3 linked regions of the Arabidopsis thaliana genome follow. The protein of the gene in region 2 interacts with the protein of the main gene of each other region in a pairwise test. Each region holds a gene or a part of one and is shown on either strand. Other genes may lie near its edges.

The links. Proteins that work in one complex are often made in the same cells at the same time.
Region 1: the proteins of AGL20 (region 2) and AT5G47590 interact in a two-hybrid assay, tested with the Arabidopsis thaliana proteins (one large-scale study listed by BioGRID).
Region 3: the proteins of AGL20 (region 2) and AT5G04600 interact in a two-hybrid assay, tested with the Arabidopsis thaliana proteins (one large-scale study listed by BioGRID).

The regions. Positions count from the first base shown.
Region 1 is NC_003076.8:19,296,801-19,301,257, forward strand, and holds AT5G47590 (Heat shock protein HSP20/alpha crystallin family), read right to left. Parts: upstream 2,375-4,457; 5' UTR 2,300-2,374; coding exon 2,245-2,299; intron 1,971-2,244; coding exon 1,593-1,970; coding exon of another isoform or gene 1,507-1,592; coding exon 1,145-1,506; 3' UTR 814-1,144; downstream 1-813. Other genes in the region: ASG7 (uncharacterized protein), read right to left, coding at 1-394; AT5G47600 (HSP20-like chaperones superfamily protein), read right to left, coding at 3,145-3,485, 3,602-3,656.
Region 2 is NC_003071.7:18,806,714-18,813,161, forward strand, and holds AGL20 (AGAMOUS-like 20), read right to left. Parts: upstream 4,413-6,448; 5' UTR 3,944-4,412; intron 3,504-3,943; 5' UTR 3,481-3,503; coding exon 3,299-3,480; intron 2,297-3,298; coding exon 2,215-2,296; intron 2,024-2,214; coding exon 1,962-2,023; intron 1,855-1,961; coding exon 1,755-1,854; intron 1,652-1,754; coding exon 1,610-1,651; coding exon of another isoform or gene 1,601-1,609; exon of another isoform or gene 1,488-1,600; coding exon 1,446-1,487; intron 1,221-1,445; coding exon 1,086-1,220; 3' UTR 792-1,085; downstream 1-791. UniProt on the Arabidopsis thaliana protein: Transcription activator active in flowering time control. May integrate signals from the photoperiod, vernalization and autonomous floral induction pathways. Can modulate class B and C homeotic genes expression.
Region 3 is NC_003076.8:1,321,919-1,327,797, reverse strand, and holds AT5G04600 (RNA-binding (RRM/RBD/RNP motifs) family protein), read right to left. Parts: upstream 4,225-5,879; 5' UTR 4,099-4,224; coding exon 3,985-4,098; intron 3,881-3,984; coding exon 3,763-3,880; intron 3,621-3,762; coding exon 3,565-3,620; intron 3,474-3,564; coding exon 3,426-3,473; intron 3,330-3,425; coding exon 3,232-3,329; intron 2,716-3,231; coding exon 2,646-2,715; intron 2,558-2,645; coding exon 2,447-2,557; intron 2,366-2,446; coding exon 2,312-2,365; 3' UTR 2,187-2,311; coding exon of another isoform or gene 882-2,186; 3' UTR 814-881; downstream 1-813. Other genes in the region: BIOF (biotin F), read right to left, coding at 1-23, 257-506; AT5G04610 (S-adenosyl-L-methionine-dependent methyltransferases superfamily protein), read left to right, coding at 882-2,186; SIR (sulfite reductase), read right to left, coding at 5,500-5,553, 5,671-5,829.

The sequences.
Region 1 (4,457 bases), on a different chromosome or scaffold from region 2:
CAGTGATGACAAGAATCCCTAAAGCCATAAGATTCATGAGGAGATCATTGTTGTCCATAATACCCAGAGAAGGCATCGAATTACCCATCACAGTACATACAAAGACGGTGCTGCTGAGTTTAGCTAACTGATCCTGACGACTCGGCATGGAAGTGTTGAGATCCACAGAGAGTTTGATTCCGACAGCGATGAAAGTCAGAGAAGTGGCGTTGAGAGAGAAGAACTTACAGGGAAACCAGAATTTGCGGTGTCGGAAGCCGTGTATAAGATCGGCGGCCATGGCTAGACCACAGATGAGTGAAGCTACGGCAACGTAGATACCAATCGAAGGTAAGGGTTTGCTGAACTCTGCATCGTTCAAATCGCCATGGGCGTCGCAGCCGAGGATACCCATCAATCGAATTCAAGGATTTGATCGAAAAAGCTCTTCTTCAAGTTGACTCCATGGAAATGAGTGATCTTGTTGACATCATTCTAGAGACTGGAAAAGTAGCAAACTTTGACTTCTCTGACCGATTTTGAGCACAAATTCCAACCTTTCTACTACACTCTTCTATGACCATTTCAACTAAATTTCGGATAGACACTGTTGAATCGCAGATCAACCGGGAAAAACTCACGGGAAGAAAGTGTTTCTGCCTGCTTTCGTGGAGTTTGGAAAAGGCCTGGAGTGATCCACCTATCATGGGCCTAATAATCGGCCCAATTAGTTTTGTTACTGGATGTGTTAATAATGATGAAGAGTAGAAACTTTGACTTGTCTGATAAAATGATCACACTCCTTTCATGACCATTTCGATTCAATTGAGGAATTAGGCACTGTTGAGTGACAGATCAAATGTCCTAGGATCTATAAACAATTGACATTCCATGGAATCAGCTTTAGGGGGTTTTGAGCAATCATCATCACCAATCAGGTTATTCGAGGGATCCAGTTTGTTTGTTTTTGAATTCAGCTTAGGGGAACAAAAGAGTTAAGATTGTGAAAACAAATGACATGAATCACTTGATTCGATAGCAAACACAAAAGCAGGACTAATCTCTCTCACACACACAATGTCTCAACTTAAACAGAGAAAACTAGTCAATGTCCCAAAATGAAAATATAGTAGAGTACTAGCTAAAAGAGAGGTAGAGAGATCATTCATTCAATAGGGTTTCTTTTGTTGTTGATGGTGGTCATGTCGTCAGGAGGTATGACAGCAATCCTGAGAACACCAAATTCTGCATCCCAAGCGATGGTGTTGTTCGAAATTAAAGCGGGAAAAGGACTTTGGACGCTTCCGAGGTAGGTTCGACCGCTCTCATCGTGTTCATACACGTCCTTGATCTCAGCTTTGAATCTGATTTCCTTTTCATCAGCATACACTTCCACATCATCCGGACTAACACCTGGCATGTCCACTGCAAAGTGAGCCCCTCCTCCCGCTTTTGTCACCCCAATTAGTGCTCCCTTGCGACCAGACACCAGACACGGATGATCCTCCAAGCGTATTCCGGATTGACCTTAATAAAGAACAGAGAGTACTGTATTAACAACAAATGATGCAGCAAAAGAGATTGTGACTTTAGAGAAGAGGAATGAGTCGAACCTGTAAAAGGAGGCACAGTGAGAGTACACTTGTTGTTGTTGTTGTCTTGAGCCTTGCTCACAACCTTGACCCTTGTGAGAATCATCCTCAAAACTCCATCTTTCATTTTGGCATCCACGCCTGTGATCTCGCAGCAGTCACAGCCAAGCCCAGCGGTTCCAGAGTACTGACGCACACCTTCCTTGCCGTTGTTCAGAGTTTCACCGGAGAAAAAGACAACCTTTTGTCTCACGGCGTCAACTCTGTAGCGAACGGCGTCGTCTGGAACACCAGGCAAGTCGACACGCACGTAGAGATTGTCGTTCTCCAGAACCTTCACTTGAACGAAACCCTTTGGACCCGCTTTCTGAAACTGATTGTTCGTCGCGTAGAACCCCTCTGTAATAATAATAAGTAAACAAAGATCAAAACTTGATGAAGAAAAGTATACAGAGAACAAAGGAAGACACTTATCAAAGATGGAACTAACTCGATCTGCTTCATTTTCATGAATCATGCACAGTAAAAAAACTGTAAATCTTTGTACCAAGTTCATGTTAACACTTCACAAGTAAACAAATTGAGACAACTTTCTAGAAAAAACACATATTTTCCGAGAAAAATTAGAACAATGTTGTTCTTGGGAAATCTAGTAGCTCGTGAAAAGAGATACCTCGAACTTTAGGAATTCTTGACATGTCCCTGAAATCTGCCTTTGTCTCACCCATCTCTCTCTTTGTTTTTTGCTCTCTCTTCTCTTCTAGTTCAAGGTAGGTTGCGTAAAAATGGCGTTTTGTTCTCCTGTTGATAAATATAGACGAAGCACCATCTTGTGGTACAGACTGTGACGTGGCACGCTCCAGCTGGCTTTTTTTTAACCTTCATAGCATAAGTTTGACTGGTCTTGCCTACGTCACCGACTCTCTCTCTCGGTAAGAAAAAAAACTTGCTTTTACTCTTTTGATTTTTTTTACGGTAGAGAATAAGCTGACGTCACCAGCTCTGTGAGCTATCCCACGCTTTTTTTACTCCTTTCGTTTATATGTAATTATGTACGACAAAAATGACTGCAAAAGTAAAACCGTACCCACACTCTTCACTCTTCATTAATTTTCAAACATTTTTGACAAGACGACGCTGACGTCAGCAATCTTCAAGAGTAAAAAAATTATGAGCTCTCAATTATCTTTTTTTTTTTCATCAAAGATCAAATAAGGTTTCAACCGTCGTTTAGTGTTTATCCAATTATTACGACAACGCTATTAAAAAGTTTGATCCCTACTTACAACAACATATATCTATTAACATGTCCAGGTTACATACTCGTAATCCGGTTTAATAATGGCAAAGATCTATATAGTCTTATCGAATAGCTAGGTTAATGTAAGATTAAATAGAACAAAGAAAGCTGACAACTTTTTCTTTATTGAGATCACGACATATAGAAGCAAGATCGTTCTTAACTAAACCACAAAATGATAAACATAAAGCAGTAGCTGCATCAAAGTTCATAGATAGATAGAGACGCTAGACACAAGTACCATTACGAGACACAAACCAAGGTGTTGTTAAATCAGTAATGGAGGATCCTCTCCTTGACATTAATGGAAGCGTTTTTGCCTGGGATCTTAGGGACGGTGATCCAGAGCACTCCGTTGATAAGCTTCACTTTAGTTTTCTTGACGTCGTAAGCCTCAGGGTTGAAAATCATGGAGCCTCCGTATTTGCGTCCGGCGTTTTCGTACTCAGGCATTGCTGGTTCGTCGGCGAAGAAGTGGACGTTGTTGGCGTCGACCCAGTAGGTGAGATCTGACTCGGGACAACCAGGCATGTCGACTCTCGTCACGCAAGATTTCTTCGTCTCTGTCACCTCGTACACCGCTTGACTCCCACTTTTCTGAAATCGGTTCCTTACTGTACATACATAAGATAAAACAAACACAAATTCGTTATTAGAAAGAGAGATTTGACGTGTAAACTATAAAGGTTTGATTTTTATAAGAAATGACAGTGAAAGATGAAAACTTTACTTGGAGACGGAATTTCGCCGGAACTGCCTGCGTTAACTTCCATGTTCCTACTCATTTGCTCAAAACGATGCTCTTTCTCTTTCTTTTGGAAGGAAACTGAGTGAGCAAAGTCGCTCTACTCCACTTGCTATTTATAGCCGAGGAGGACTATAGGGTTTGGGAAAGGCCTGGAGTGACCTATCATTTGGCCCATTAATCGGCCCAAGGAGTGTTAAAAATTCGAAATTGTTTCTGATTTGGTGAAATTGATCGAAAAGCTCTTCTAGTTGAACTCCATGGAAAGGAGTGATCTTGTAGAGTGTTGACAATTGACATCAATCTGGAGACTTTGACTTCTCTGAACAATTTTTAGCACAACCGGAGTGACCACCTAATATGGGCCTAAGAATCGGCCCATTTAGTTTTGTCGGGGGATGAATTATAAACAATTGACATTTGATGGAAGAAACTAATATTCAATATCAGCTTAGCTTTAGGTAAATTATGCAATGGACCCAATTTGTTTCAATCGGCTTAGAGGAAAAAAAAAGAGTTAAAAGTTTGTGAAAACAAATGACATGAATCATTGGGTACCATAGCAAACACAAGTATGTATATGTTAGTTACTTGTGTATTTGGCCCATACATCGGCCCAATGAGTGTTTGAGCCTTTAAAATTCGAAAACTGCTTTTGATTTGGTGCAGTATATGTTAGTTATTCAGCTTCCATCTAATCTCCTCCATACACATTATAATTTAAGTTGCTCTGAGTTTTATTTGATTCTTACTGAAGATTGGTCCAGAAACTTTCCTAGTACAATGAACTCTTGTTTCAAAACAAAAAAAAACACTGTTTCATTGTGTGGCGATGTAGAAT
Region 2 (6,448 bases):
GCTCAACTACGCAAGTAGGAGTAATGAACTTCCGAAACAATTGGGTGAGTAAATGAAATCAACCTGTAACTAAAAAAATGAACGAATAATAAAATGCCACGTAGTTGACCTTGGAAAAAGCGCAATGATATGAAGCCAGGTAGGACCCACATTGCTGTTTCTTGATTTGACTTTTGGAAGAGAAGAGCTCCTCTTTCTTTAGCAAACTTTACTGTTGTTGATATATGTCTTTTCCATAAAGTCTTCATATTTATTGAGGTTTTTTTTTTTTTTTTACATACTAGAATTTAAGTTTTTAATACTCTCTTATATTTATGGGCTGTTATCGCAAAGTAGGCCCTTTTATAAGTGGGCCATTACAAAATAAATTCATGGGCCCATATAAATGTTAACGGCACATGTCATATCACAATCATGTATCTCTATTATCTAAAGATTCTAAACGATTTGAAATATTGGATTATGCGTATAATGTTTTTTTTTTCTTTGATGGGCTAAAAGCCTCTACAACATTTGGATTTATGCCCTAAATCTCCTCTCCCGGTGATCTTTTGAACTTGCTTGGGGGGGACGCAACTTCTTCCAAGACAGTCACACATGCTACTAGACCGATCTTTGTATTGTAGAGTTGCCACCGTTGTCGTGTATCAGCTCTTCATCTGAAATGATGCAGTTATTGATTTTTGGCCAATGGATAATGTTTAATGTGCTCTCATAATTTTCTTTATATTTTTTTACCAGTTTGGGAAGTTCTAGACCTCTAGTCTCTCGACTTGAGAAACCAGTAAGTTATATAGTACAGATATTCCTGATTTTATGATTTTGAGGGAAGAAAGCTAAATTGATACATGAAAACAAAACATAATCAAAATTACATTCTAGAGAGGCAAGTGTAAGAACATAGATACATAACACAAGCAGTTCAGAATCATTAAAGAAGTGACTGAGAGAGAGAGAGTGAGAGAGAAATAAGACAACAAGAGAGAAGCAGCTTTAGAGTTTTGTTACTTGTCCTTATACACTCTCAGTACTGCTAAACCTGTTTTTACTTAGTTTGTTTTTTTGTTTTTTTTGTTGAGTGGAGATCACTTTCTTGAAGAACAAGGTAACCCAATGAACAATTGCGTCTCTACTTCAGAACTTGGGCTACTCTCTTCATCACCTCTTCCAGTACTTTCTTGATTCTTATTTGACCAAACTTCGCTTTCATGAGATCCCCACTGCATTCAAATAGAATTATTACACAAAATTAATAGATGCAAATTAGAAGATATATAGAACAATACATAAATTAAAGAAGGTTGATGATTGAAGATAACCAAGAAAAACTAGTAAGGACTCTCCTAACCTAATAACCCCCAAAAAGAACCCCAACTTTCTTATCTTTACCGAATAAAAAAACGAATGTGCAACCCTAACTTGAGACCCATAAGAATATATTATACCTTTTCAGAGAGCTTCTCGTTTTCTGCAGCTAGAGCTTTCTCCTGCAAAAGTTTTAGATTCCAATTTGTAAAAAGCAAGCACAAGAGGCTTACTTACTTGGAATATTACACAATTTGCATACATACTTATATCTGTTTATATACACTCATAAAAACTACTTTACCTTTTGCTTGAGCTGCTCAATTTGTTCCTTAAACACTTGAGTCTAAAAGAGATGAGAAATTGAGTTATAATTATGAGTGGTTTCAGAAGATGATTCGAACAATACTTATAATGTGGAGATATAACAGATAAATATATACACATACCTTTCTTGCTCGAATACATTTGACACTTTTCTCAAGCTGTTGCTCAATCTGTTGCAGCTCCTCGATTGAGCATGTTCCTATGCCTTCTCCCAAGAGTTTACTGATTACAAAAACAAAACACTAATTGATCAAACTCTCCTATGCATCATGAAATAGATATATACAAGTGATGAATAATGTGTTTGTATATATGTATATATCACAAACCGTTTAGAAGCTTCGAGTTGTTCAATTTTCTTCATCATGTTTGCTGCTTCATATTTCAAATGCTGTTGGTTATATCACAGAAATGTTATTGCATGTACATATATATCCTAATTATAAATATGTGACTTGATCCTGTGACCTTGAGATTATATACATATTGTGGTTATATTCATTACCGCTCTTTGATATTATATAGTAAAAGTATTAATTAGCAAGAATTGATATATAGGCAAGAAGATCATAAAGAATAAACCTGCATATTTTCTTCAGAAACCGGTTTGGTGCTGACTCGATCCTTAGTATGCCTCAGATAACGATCTATGGTATCTTGCATACTGTCAAAAACATATATAATTGGAACATTAAAGTAAATCATCAGAGATCAAATTTAGATCCCAATGGTGTTCTCAAAACATTTCTTATTGAAGATATCACTAGACTTAATCAAGGACATAGCTTGAAAAGTCTTGTACTTTTTCCCCCTATTTTAGAAAATCAAAAACATGTGAGGTCTTATCTTTATATTTAGTAGGTTCGAGAGAAAGAAGTACTTTCCCAAATGGACCAAATGTCTGAAACATCTGATCAAAAGCTGGCATTTTCATTTACAGAAGTAATGATTCATCAAAAGTAAGTTTGGTTTCCCTACTACCTAACAGTACAAGATAAAACTCTTTTGATTCTCAAAAACAATCAACATTTAGGTTTGGCTAGCTAGCTTTGAGTTTCTATGTCAAAATCAGGAACAAATATTCAAACAAATTGAACTAAATTAGGAATGAGCATGAAATGAAGCATGAGGGATTAATAAATCAGGAATGATGAAACAACTTCCTAATCATCACTTAGAAATTAGAACAACATGTTTTGCTTAAAGCAATAACAAGACAAAGATTAGTTCAAACCAAAAGAATACTAATTGAAAGTTGTTTTATTAATACTATGTGATCATGATCTCTAAGAAGATCAAATATATAACAAGTGTAAATTGGCTACGAAAGAGCACATTTTATTTATATCATAACTTGAGAAACTAATTGAGAAAGAGAGAGACAGATGATTAAACAAGATGATATACTAGCGGAAATAAAAAAACAATAAATAAGAGGGTATATGTACTTGATACTACTTTAATAATAGCCCTAATTTTGCAGAAACCAAGAAACTCATTTAAACACACCTCTCAAAGCAAACGTCAAAGAGATGTGATTCCACAAAAGGCCAATCAAATCCATATATAAACCAAAAAAAATTAAGATACAAATAGAGAGGTTAATGAGATCTCTCTCTCTCTCTCTTTCTATGGATGATTTGTAAGAAAGACAAAAAGAACGTACTTGGAGCTGGCGAATTCATAAAGTTTGCCTTTAGGAGAGAAGATGATAAGAGAAACTTCAGCATCACAAAGCACTGAGAGCTCAAAGGCTTTCTTCAACAAACCATTCCTTCTTTTGGAGAAAGTCACTTGTCTGCTTGTTGCATTCTCTATTCTCTTCATCTGAGTTTTGCCCCTCACCATATCTTCTTCTTTAGTTAATTTCCCTTGCACACAGAAAAAAAATAAAATTATTTTTTCAAAAATTGAAGAAAACGGTAGATCAATGGTGCAACCACCTCAATAACAAGATTAGTCACACACATAAAACAACCCATTTCATATATGAATCAAAGAGAGTAGGTTAAAAAAATGAAGATATGATCGAAATATGACTTTTTTGTTTGGGTGGGAGAAGACTGATGAAGTCAACGAAAGATTAAGTACCCAAAAAGCAAAACAATCTAAAGTATCTGATCTATAAGTCTGTAATGGAAACTTTTGTTATCGGTTTAATTGAAGGATGCAACCTCCTTTCATGAGATTTAGGACAAAGAAACCAAACACATCAAATCGAACCAAATGAAACCAAACCCATATAAGTTTATAGATCCATCAGAGTACAAAGCAAAAGAAAAAAGAAAAGATCATGACGAAGAGATCTTACCGATTGGCTAAAAGGGTTTGATAAAAACCTAACCAGGAGGAAGCTTTCGAGGATAAAGGGTTTGTGTATGTATAGGTAGAGATATAGGAGGAGACTATATAAGCATTACTGGAGGGAGAAGAAGAAAGAAAGAGAAGGAAGAAGATGATCAAAGTTGATTCTCTGCGAAAGGAAGAACCTTTTTATGGAAGTAGCAAAAGAAGTAGCTTTCCTCGTTTCATCTATTTGTGTGTAATAAAAGAAACAAAAGACAAAAAAACTTCACACACTCGTCTCTTCTCTCTCTGCTTTTCTCCTTAAAAAAGATCCTCTTCTCGTTGTAGTTATGGTAATGGTGTTTGTGAAACCATATATATTTTCTTTTCTATTTTATTTCTTGGAGAAAGATAATAAAATAAGAGAAAGAAAGAGGGAGGAGCTAAATAGTCAGTCATATGTGTCGCAAATATGATGGACGCTTGAAACCTCATCCTTTACTTATTTTGGAAAAAAGCCTTAAGAAAGACCAAAAATAGCATATTTTGATACATATGGACATTTTTACATACACATCTTTTTCCCTCCCATAAATATCTAGTTGGATGGAAATGCCTGTCAAATTATTTTTATTAAATTTCTTCTAACAAAAATCTTTTTTTGTTTTTAATGTGGACACAAACACTCTCTCGTACCTATATGCCCCCACTTGTAATTGATATGAAAAATAAGAATATCGTTTTTTCTTACCTGTGAGTAATACAACTATATTGGTTTTAATCAATTTTTATAATATCTTTCCATCCCAACAGATAAAATTCATTTGATTTGTATATTTTCTATGCTTGTTTGTCCATTGTTTCTTATTGTTGTTCTTAAATTGTGTTTTTAGTTATATGACATAATCTTACATCTCCATGTGAATAATTAATTACTTGCAATTGTAAGTTTTTATAAGTTGGACAAAACCACATTACAAAATACTACAATTTCCTCATTACCTAAGTGACCATTAATCCAAATATTTGGAGGCTAGTACAGAGACAATGGGGCAATGGCGTTAAGTAGCGACGTGTCTAAAGAGGCATTTGCTATTTTTGGTCCCTCGGATTACTAAAGAAAACGTAACTTAGAAATCCAATAATAATTCAGCTTATCGAACGTCTTGTCTAGCTAGTGGCACCAAAAAAATATCCTTTTTTGGAGATAAAATTGTTAATCGATATCTAATGATCTTTTATCTATATCGGGAGGAGGACCACACAAACTAATTATTTCGAAAAATACACATCTTCTCTGGTGAAATATGTTAACGTATTTATATATATTAAATATCAAACAGATAGGTCCGAAAATCTGTATGGATAATTTTTATATAAATACACATCTTCTCTGGTGAATTGTCTCTATCTTTATATTTTCGTGTTTGTATAAAGTATAAACCCGGTTTGAAGTTTAGTTATGTATTTTGTAGACCCAATTCAGATTTAAAGAAACATCATCGTATACCACTAGTAAATACGATCACTTCTTAACTGGTTGAGACAAATCCAAAACAAAAAGTATCTAACGTAACTGAACCAACTATACATTACTTAAAGGATTCGTCCTATAGATTAAAACAATCGTGTTAGTAATGTGTCACATCGAAAGTAAGATAGAACCAGGCTATGCTTCAGGTTTTTGTTCACTGCGATTAATTTTAGATATGATTGACCACTACAATTATTTTTAAGTGGTAGTAATATCCGATTTTTTTTGTACATAATCATATAAACTAATCTAATTTTCGCTTCGAGATCCCAAAGTATAATTTTTTTAAAAATATGACTATATGAGAGATACGTAGAGTTCTAGTCTACACTATATGAGAGATACGTATGCGTTTAGTCACAAGTTTCTTTGTTGCCATTAGATTAGAAAAACCTTGTATAAGTAAGTACATGTCTGTCTAGCAGTCTAGGAATGATGTGAATTTGCATTTAAAAGATGTATGGTTAGTAACTTCCAACATGGTGATATGGAAATCTCATGAGTTTACCAGTCATAAGCTCATGCAAAATCATAACATATAAAGTGTATTTTAGATAAATCAAAATTTCACAATGATTAAACACCAATGTGTTTGTAAAATTAGTTTGGGGTTAATGTACAAGAATTAGAGAAATAAGGGTGGGAAAAAAGAGTACAATATTAGAAATACATCAACGTCGTCCGTACAGTCACGTACAAACGTTAGCCAATGATAATTCGAAAACGCACCTCTTACTTTTTCTCATCAATCGAAAAATCCCGAGACAATAATAATATATTTATTATTTTATTAATTACAAAGATAAATCGTGCTCCACACTTTAGTCTTCATGGGACCCTCACAAAAATTGCCATATCTCCAAATAATAAAATTCTACAATATAGCTATTATATGGTCCTACTTTTCTTACCTCTTATAACCTCTTTACTTCCTCTTTTAGGTTAAATCTATTTTTCGCTCCTTTTGTTTTCATTTTCCTCATATGTATATGCCTA
Region 3 (5,879 bases), on a different chromosome or scaffold from region 2:
ATCTCCACTAAAAATCTCTTCTCCTGTCAACGTGAAACTGATACAACATAAAAACCCAGTCTTTTGCCTAATCAATTCAGCTTCTTCACTAAACCCAAATTATAACCATCAATTACACTTTGCATAAAGCCATAATTCACTGTCTAAAGTATGAAAACGAAATCGCATTTGAGTTCAAAGGAAGAAAAAAACACCAAACTTTGGAAACTCCGAAACTCTCGGCAAAAAAAAATATCAGGAAAGAAATGAAACGTACCGTTGCTGGGTTCATCGTGAAGCCATTTCTGAAATGTAGGAATCGAGACAGACACCTCAACTGAAGTCCGATCCCATTGACACAAACCGTCGAACACCTCGTACCCGTCTCCTCCATTGGCTCTGCTTTTCACTATTTCTTCTTCGTTTTGCCTAGACATGCAAATGGGCCTCAAAGATCGAAGAATTTGCCTGGATTCAAGCACATTCACTGCTTCTTCCACAGTTTTATCCCACGAATGATCCGCCATTCTAAGTGCAAACAGAATTGTGATTTGGGCGAATTTTAAAAAGTGGTTCGGTAGCTAGAGAAAGAAGAGGACTTAAAGCCTCTTCTCCTACTGCTATGACGTAATTAAAACACCTGCTTCTACATGTTTGTAGACTCAGAGAAGGAAATGAGAGAGGCCTGGAGATGAAAAGCCCAGGACGAAGAAGAAGAAGATGAGTAAATGAAAAATTGAAAATTTCGGAGTTGAAACACGTGAAAGTCACATGATCGGTTTGTTCTGGTTTGGTTTATTCCGGTTTTATCGGTTTATTTCTGGTTTGGTTTTATTACGGTTAACTGTAAGCAGCATCATAAAAAGACGAAGATGGATGATGGTGAAATCAAAATCAAGGAAATGGCGCTTGATGTGAGAATCTTCGAGAAAACCTCTCCTTCTCGTTTCATCTCTTTCACTATCCCTAACCCTAATTCTCCGATTCATCTCCTCCGCGTCGCCGTCCTCGACTCGCCTGTTCATTCCACTGAGTCTTCTCCTCCCCGAGTCGCCGCCATTCTCGTCCCCAAGCACCGAGAATCCGATTGGATCTTCTCCACTGAGTCCGGTCAATTACAGCTTCTCCTTAACATGCCAGAAATCTCTCGATTGATCTTGATCGGTGATGATCACGATACTGACTCTGATTTACCTGCGGTTTATCACCGACCGAACGGCGAAGACGACGAATCTGAGAAACTCGAGATAAGATTGAAACCTCTTGTGGTAGCTTTGTTACCTAAAACCCTAACACGAGAAGAAATCGACGATGTGCCTTTTCTGATTTACGATGATAATGTTGTCTCCAGTGTAGAGATTGAAAAATGCGTCGGGCCTTTCGTTGGTGAAATGTTAATTGAAGATGTAGAGATTGAGATCGATGATGGAGTTAGAGAATTTAGGAGGAGATTGAGGTTTAAGAGAATGCCAAATTTAGTTCAATCTGCCATTAAAATCATTCCCAGAAGTTGTTCGAATCCTTCTCTGCCATTAATGGGAACAGAGTTCAAGCTTGATCTTACGGAACTTGTGCATCCTTACTTGGCACCAATGGTGGCAAGTCTTAGCTTGATTGGTTCTGATGTATATGATCATCTCAAATCTAAACCAAAGGCATTGTGCATTGGGGTTGGAGGTGGTGGATTGCTAAGTTTCTTAAGGCTACAGTTAGGGTTCGAAGTTACAGGCGTAGAGATAGATCCTGAAGTCTTGAGGATTGCAAGGCAATACTTCGGGTTAGAGGAAAGCTTAGCTCGTGTTCACGTTGAAGATGGTATTGAGTTCTTAAAGAGACTTTCTAAAAGCTGTGATGATGATGCCAGATTTGATGTCTTGATGGTTGATCTGGACTCTACTGATCCAATTCACGGCATGACTGCTCCTCCGGTTGAGTTTGTGGCTAAAGATGTGTTGCTAGCTGCAAGAACTGTTCTTGTTCCTTCTGGGGTTTTCATTATCAATGTCATTCCTCCGAACAAGACATTTTACCAAGAGCTTCAAGACCAGTTTAGACATGTCTTTGCCGAGTTGTATGAGATCGATGTAGGAAATGGTGAGAATTTTGTTCTCATCGCAACCGTTGCACCTAGAAAGAGCGGTTTCAACAGAGAGAATCTAACACCCGCTGTCTCGGGAAAGTATCTTGATGCTATACAGAAAATCTGAATCATTGAAACAGAAGTTTTCATTGCAAACTTTAAAGTTTAGTTATTGATCCAATATCAAGAGTACAACAGAACAGATTTCTATTCAAAAAAGGTTATCGGAAAAGTGTTGTTCAGCTTCAGCTTTTAGTCTTCTTCACTAAACTTGATCCTCTTCGGGACTGGCTGTGTGTTTCCAACCTGAAGCAGTGACACAAAACATGCAGTTATTAGTTCAATGTTGAAGATGTAGTGTATAGAATTGTGTAATCGGAAACTTACAAGCTCAGGGCATTCGTATTCTATTCCAGCGGCTTCGATTCTCTTCCTCCTTTTCTGATCCTTTTTAACTATCTTCTGCAACATTTTCCTATGCTCTTCCAATGTCCTTTCCTGTATACAACAGTGACATAAATCAAAGTTAGAGCCACTTGTTCAAGAGAAATGGCATATTGATAACAAGAAAAGTGGAGAGAATAACCTTATTAAGTTGTCTTCGCTCAATCTGAACCGAATCCACTGGTTTGAAGTTACATTTAAACCCTCTCCACCTATAACATTCAGGACATAGATACATTAAGATCCACAACTACTTGAAAAGAACAATTCTCAAAATAGGTCATGCATGTTCTCTTCTGGAAACACTAGAGAGTCTCGCACATCTTTTAGAGTATGGAGTCATTAGAAACCAAGGTAGGGGACAAGAATCACATTTTCTTTACCCTAATTTTATGACTCATAAATAAAACCATCTCAGCCAAGAAAACGATCTTTCAATAAACTCTCTTTTATCCTCACTTATTTTATCACATCCTATCTAGTATCATCCTATGACTCAAATGTCATTAAGTCTCACTCTGTAAACCATAGAACATTGTACTTCAAAGCTTGCGCTAAACCACACGAGATAGTATATTGTTATATAGAGCTCTTTCATTCAACAATATAGCACAAAGTACATAAGCAGCCAAGTAAAATAGCTAACCTACACAATTAGATATGCCAACTAACTATTTGCAAAGAAGATCCCTGATCACTACGAAAAAAAGTCGATTAAAATCACTCACAGATTGGGTTTAACATTCTCTGGTTCAATGACATGGACTTTAAGCATGTGCTCCATCAACAAATAATCATTCATTGCACCCGCTGCAATTTCCGCCACCTGCAGAGAACCAAATAAAAATGTCAAGAATTGAATCTAGAGTATATATATAGCACACAACGGTTTCACCAATTTTATACAGAATCTAAAGTATACCTCAGGGTCCTCAAACTGTATGAACCCAAAATGCTTTGATTTCCCAGTCTGTTAAGACGAATACAAATTCAAAGAGTTAAGAAAGAGCACATCGTATCAAACAAGAGCAAACAAAATAAAGTATCAATCAATGTATAACCTTTTTGTTTCTGGCGACTCTAACTCTCTTAACTGTTCCAAACTGCGAGAAGAAAGCTATAACCCAGAAAGGAAAACCAGATTATCAAACACATAAACCATAGATAGATAATAAAAAGGTTTATTCATATTAGCAAGTTTGTGACAACAAAGGGCATTAAATTGAGCAAACACAATAATAAAGGGTGTAAATTTATACCTTCAATCTCAGTCTCATAGAAGCCATGAGGGATTCTACCGATGTATAGCACAGTAGCTTTATTCTGAAGAGGTGGGGTGGTAACTGGAGCTTTTCGAGCTGGACCTCCTTCTAGTGGCTATCAACAAAAACCCATACAGAGAGATTCAATGTAAAACCCTAAAGAGTCTGATACGAAATCGAAACAATGGTGGTAGTAAGAGAAAGTATCGAAGGAAATACCAAAAAATCAGCTGAAGGTTTCGGGTTCTGGGGAAGAGGTAGCTGAGAAGAAGAAGCCGAAGCAGCAACCTTCTTCATGTTCTTCTTCAAAGCTTTCTTCGCCTTGGCACCCATGTTTTCGTCGTCGGCGAGAGAGAGAAAGAGAGAACGCAAGGAAGAGGATGATACAATTAGGGTTTAAGGCGATTAGGTTTTCAACCAATTTAATCGATGTGAAAAAATTTCCAGTTATACCCCTCCCGTCCATTCTGTTTTTTATGTGTGAATATGTTTTTTTAAATAATTGTGGACATTAAAAAATTACAGTGGTGTGTAAATTTCTCAAAATGTTTTACTTGTGGGTTAAAAAAACAGTCCATATTTAAACAGAGCAACTGAGCAACAACAGAAAGAAAAAGCATAAGAAGCCATCTTAGAAAGAGGAGTAATCAAATGATATCCAGAGCTTTTTTTTTTTTCTCATAAGGGATTTTTATTCATTAAACCAATCTTACAAACCGGGTGAACCGGATAACCTAGTAAACCGGTACCCACAACCCCTTCAGCAAAATATGCAGACAGAAGCCGGCACAATTTCCGGCGAGTGAACAACCGGAAACATCTCCGGATTATAAAAACAAACAACTATTAAACCGAAAAAGATAAAAGATTCAATTTAATCTTCAAATTCTTTCTCTTCTCATCACTGGATCTTTTCCGAGAACAAAAGCATGAAAGAAGTTGTCAGCAAACAATCAACCACGAGGTGAAGCTTCTGATCTCTTGTCATCACTTGCTAATAAGAATAGACTTCGGAAATTGATATCTTGACTTCCTGGAATGGCAAGACGGACCTCAAATGAGGTGATTGAAGCCGTCAAAAACGCCGGACCGTTTCAACTATAACGGTTGGAAGGAGTCAAGCAACCCAGAATTCGCCCAAATCTGGATATTGATTCATGTGGATGAGACTAAAACAGTCGCCCAATCGAAACACCAAAACACTTACCTGATTGTGGATGGTGGTGGAACGGATCGAGAGAAGGCCATGAAAATTTCCAGTTAGAAAAGAAGAAAAAACTGATATCAAATTGTTTCCCAAATCAATTCGGTGAAACAAACAGAACGGCAACGGGATAGCCGTAAACAACACCGGATACACCGGACGGCGAGATAGGACAGCGAGATAGATCGACAAAACCGGATCACATCCGGATTCATAAGCTGGTAAAGCATGCAAAACATCGAACAAAATCTCTCTCTCTCTAAAATTTAGAGAGATAAGAGAGAGAGGTTCTGACTTTTCCATATCCAGAGCTTTAAAAAGGCTTATTGATGGGCTAATTAGCCTTGATACAGTAATGCTTCATTATCCAATCAAAGACAAAGCAATCCAAAAAAACAAAAAAAAAAAAGAGGGTACAAAATCAAACCAAAACGAGAACAAGTTCTCCATCAGAGTTACCGAAGAGTAACAGTTCAGACAGAGACATTACATTACATGAATTATAAAACGAAAGATGATCTCTGTTGTGCTCATTGAGAAACTCCTTTGTATGTATCTATCAGCTCCTTCAGTTTCTCGAATCCCTGCAATTTTACCATTGTTAAAGTTAAAAAACACAGTCATTTGTTTTTTCTTCTTCTTCAATATAAATGTTCAAGCCACAGTGAGAGAGTTAAAGAGAAGTTATATGTGATACTTACCATGCGGGTTGTGTATTCTCCAAATGATTCTTTAGTTTGCCTCTCTAGTTTCCAGTGATAGAACAATGGCTCGCAGACTTTCTCTAAGTCGTGAACCTTAACCTTATCCATGAAACTTCTCGCTATCTGGGTCAGGTTCGGTGTTCCTCCTAGCCAAACCTGCACAACCGACAACAACTCAGAATATTAGCCTGCTTGCTTACTACTAT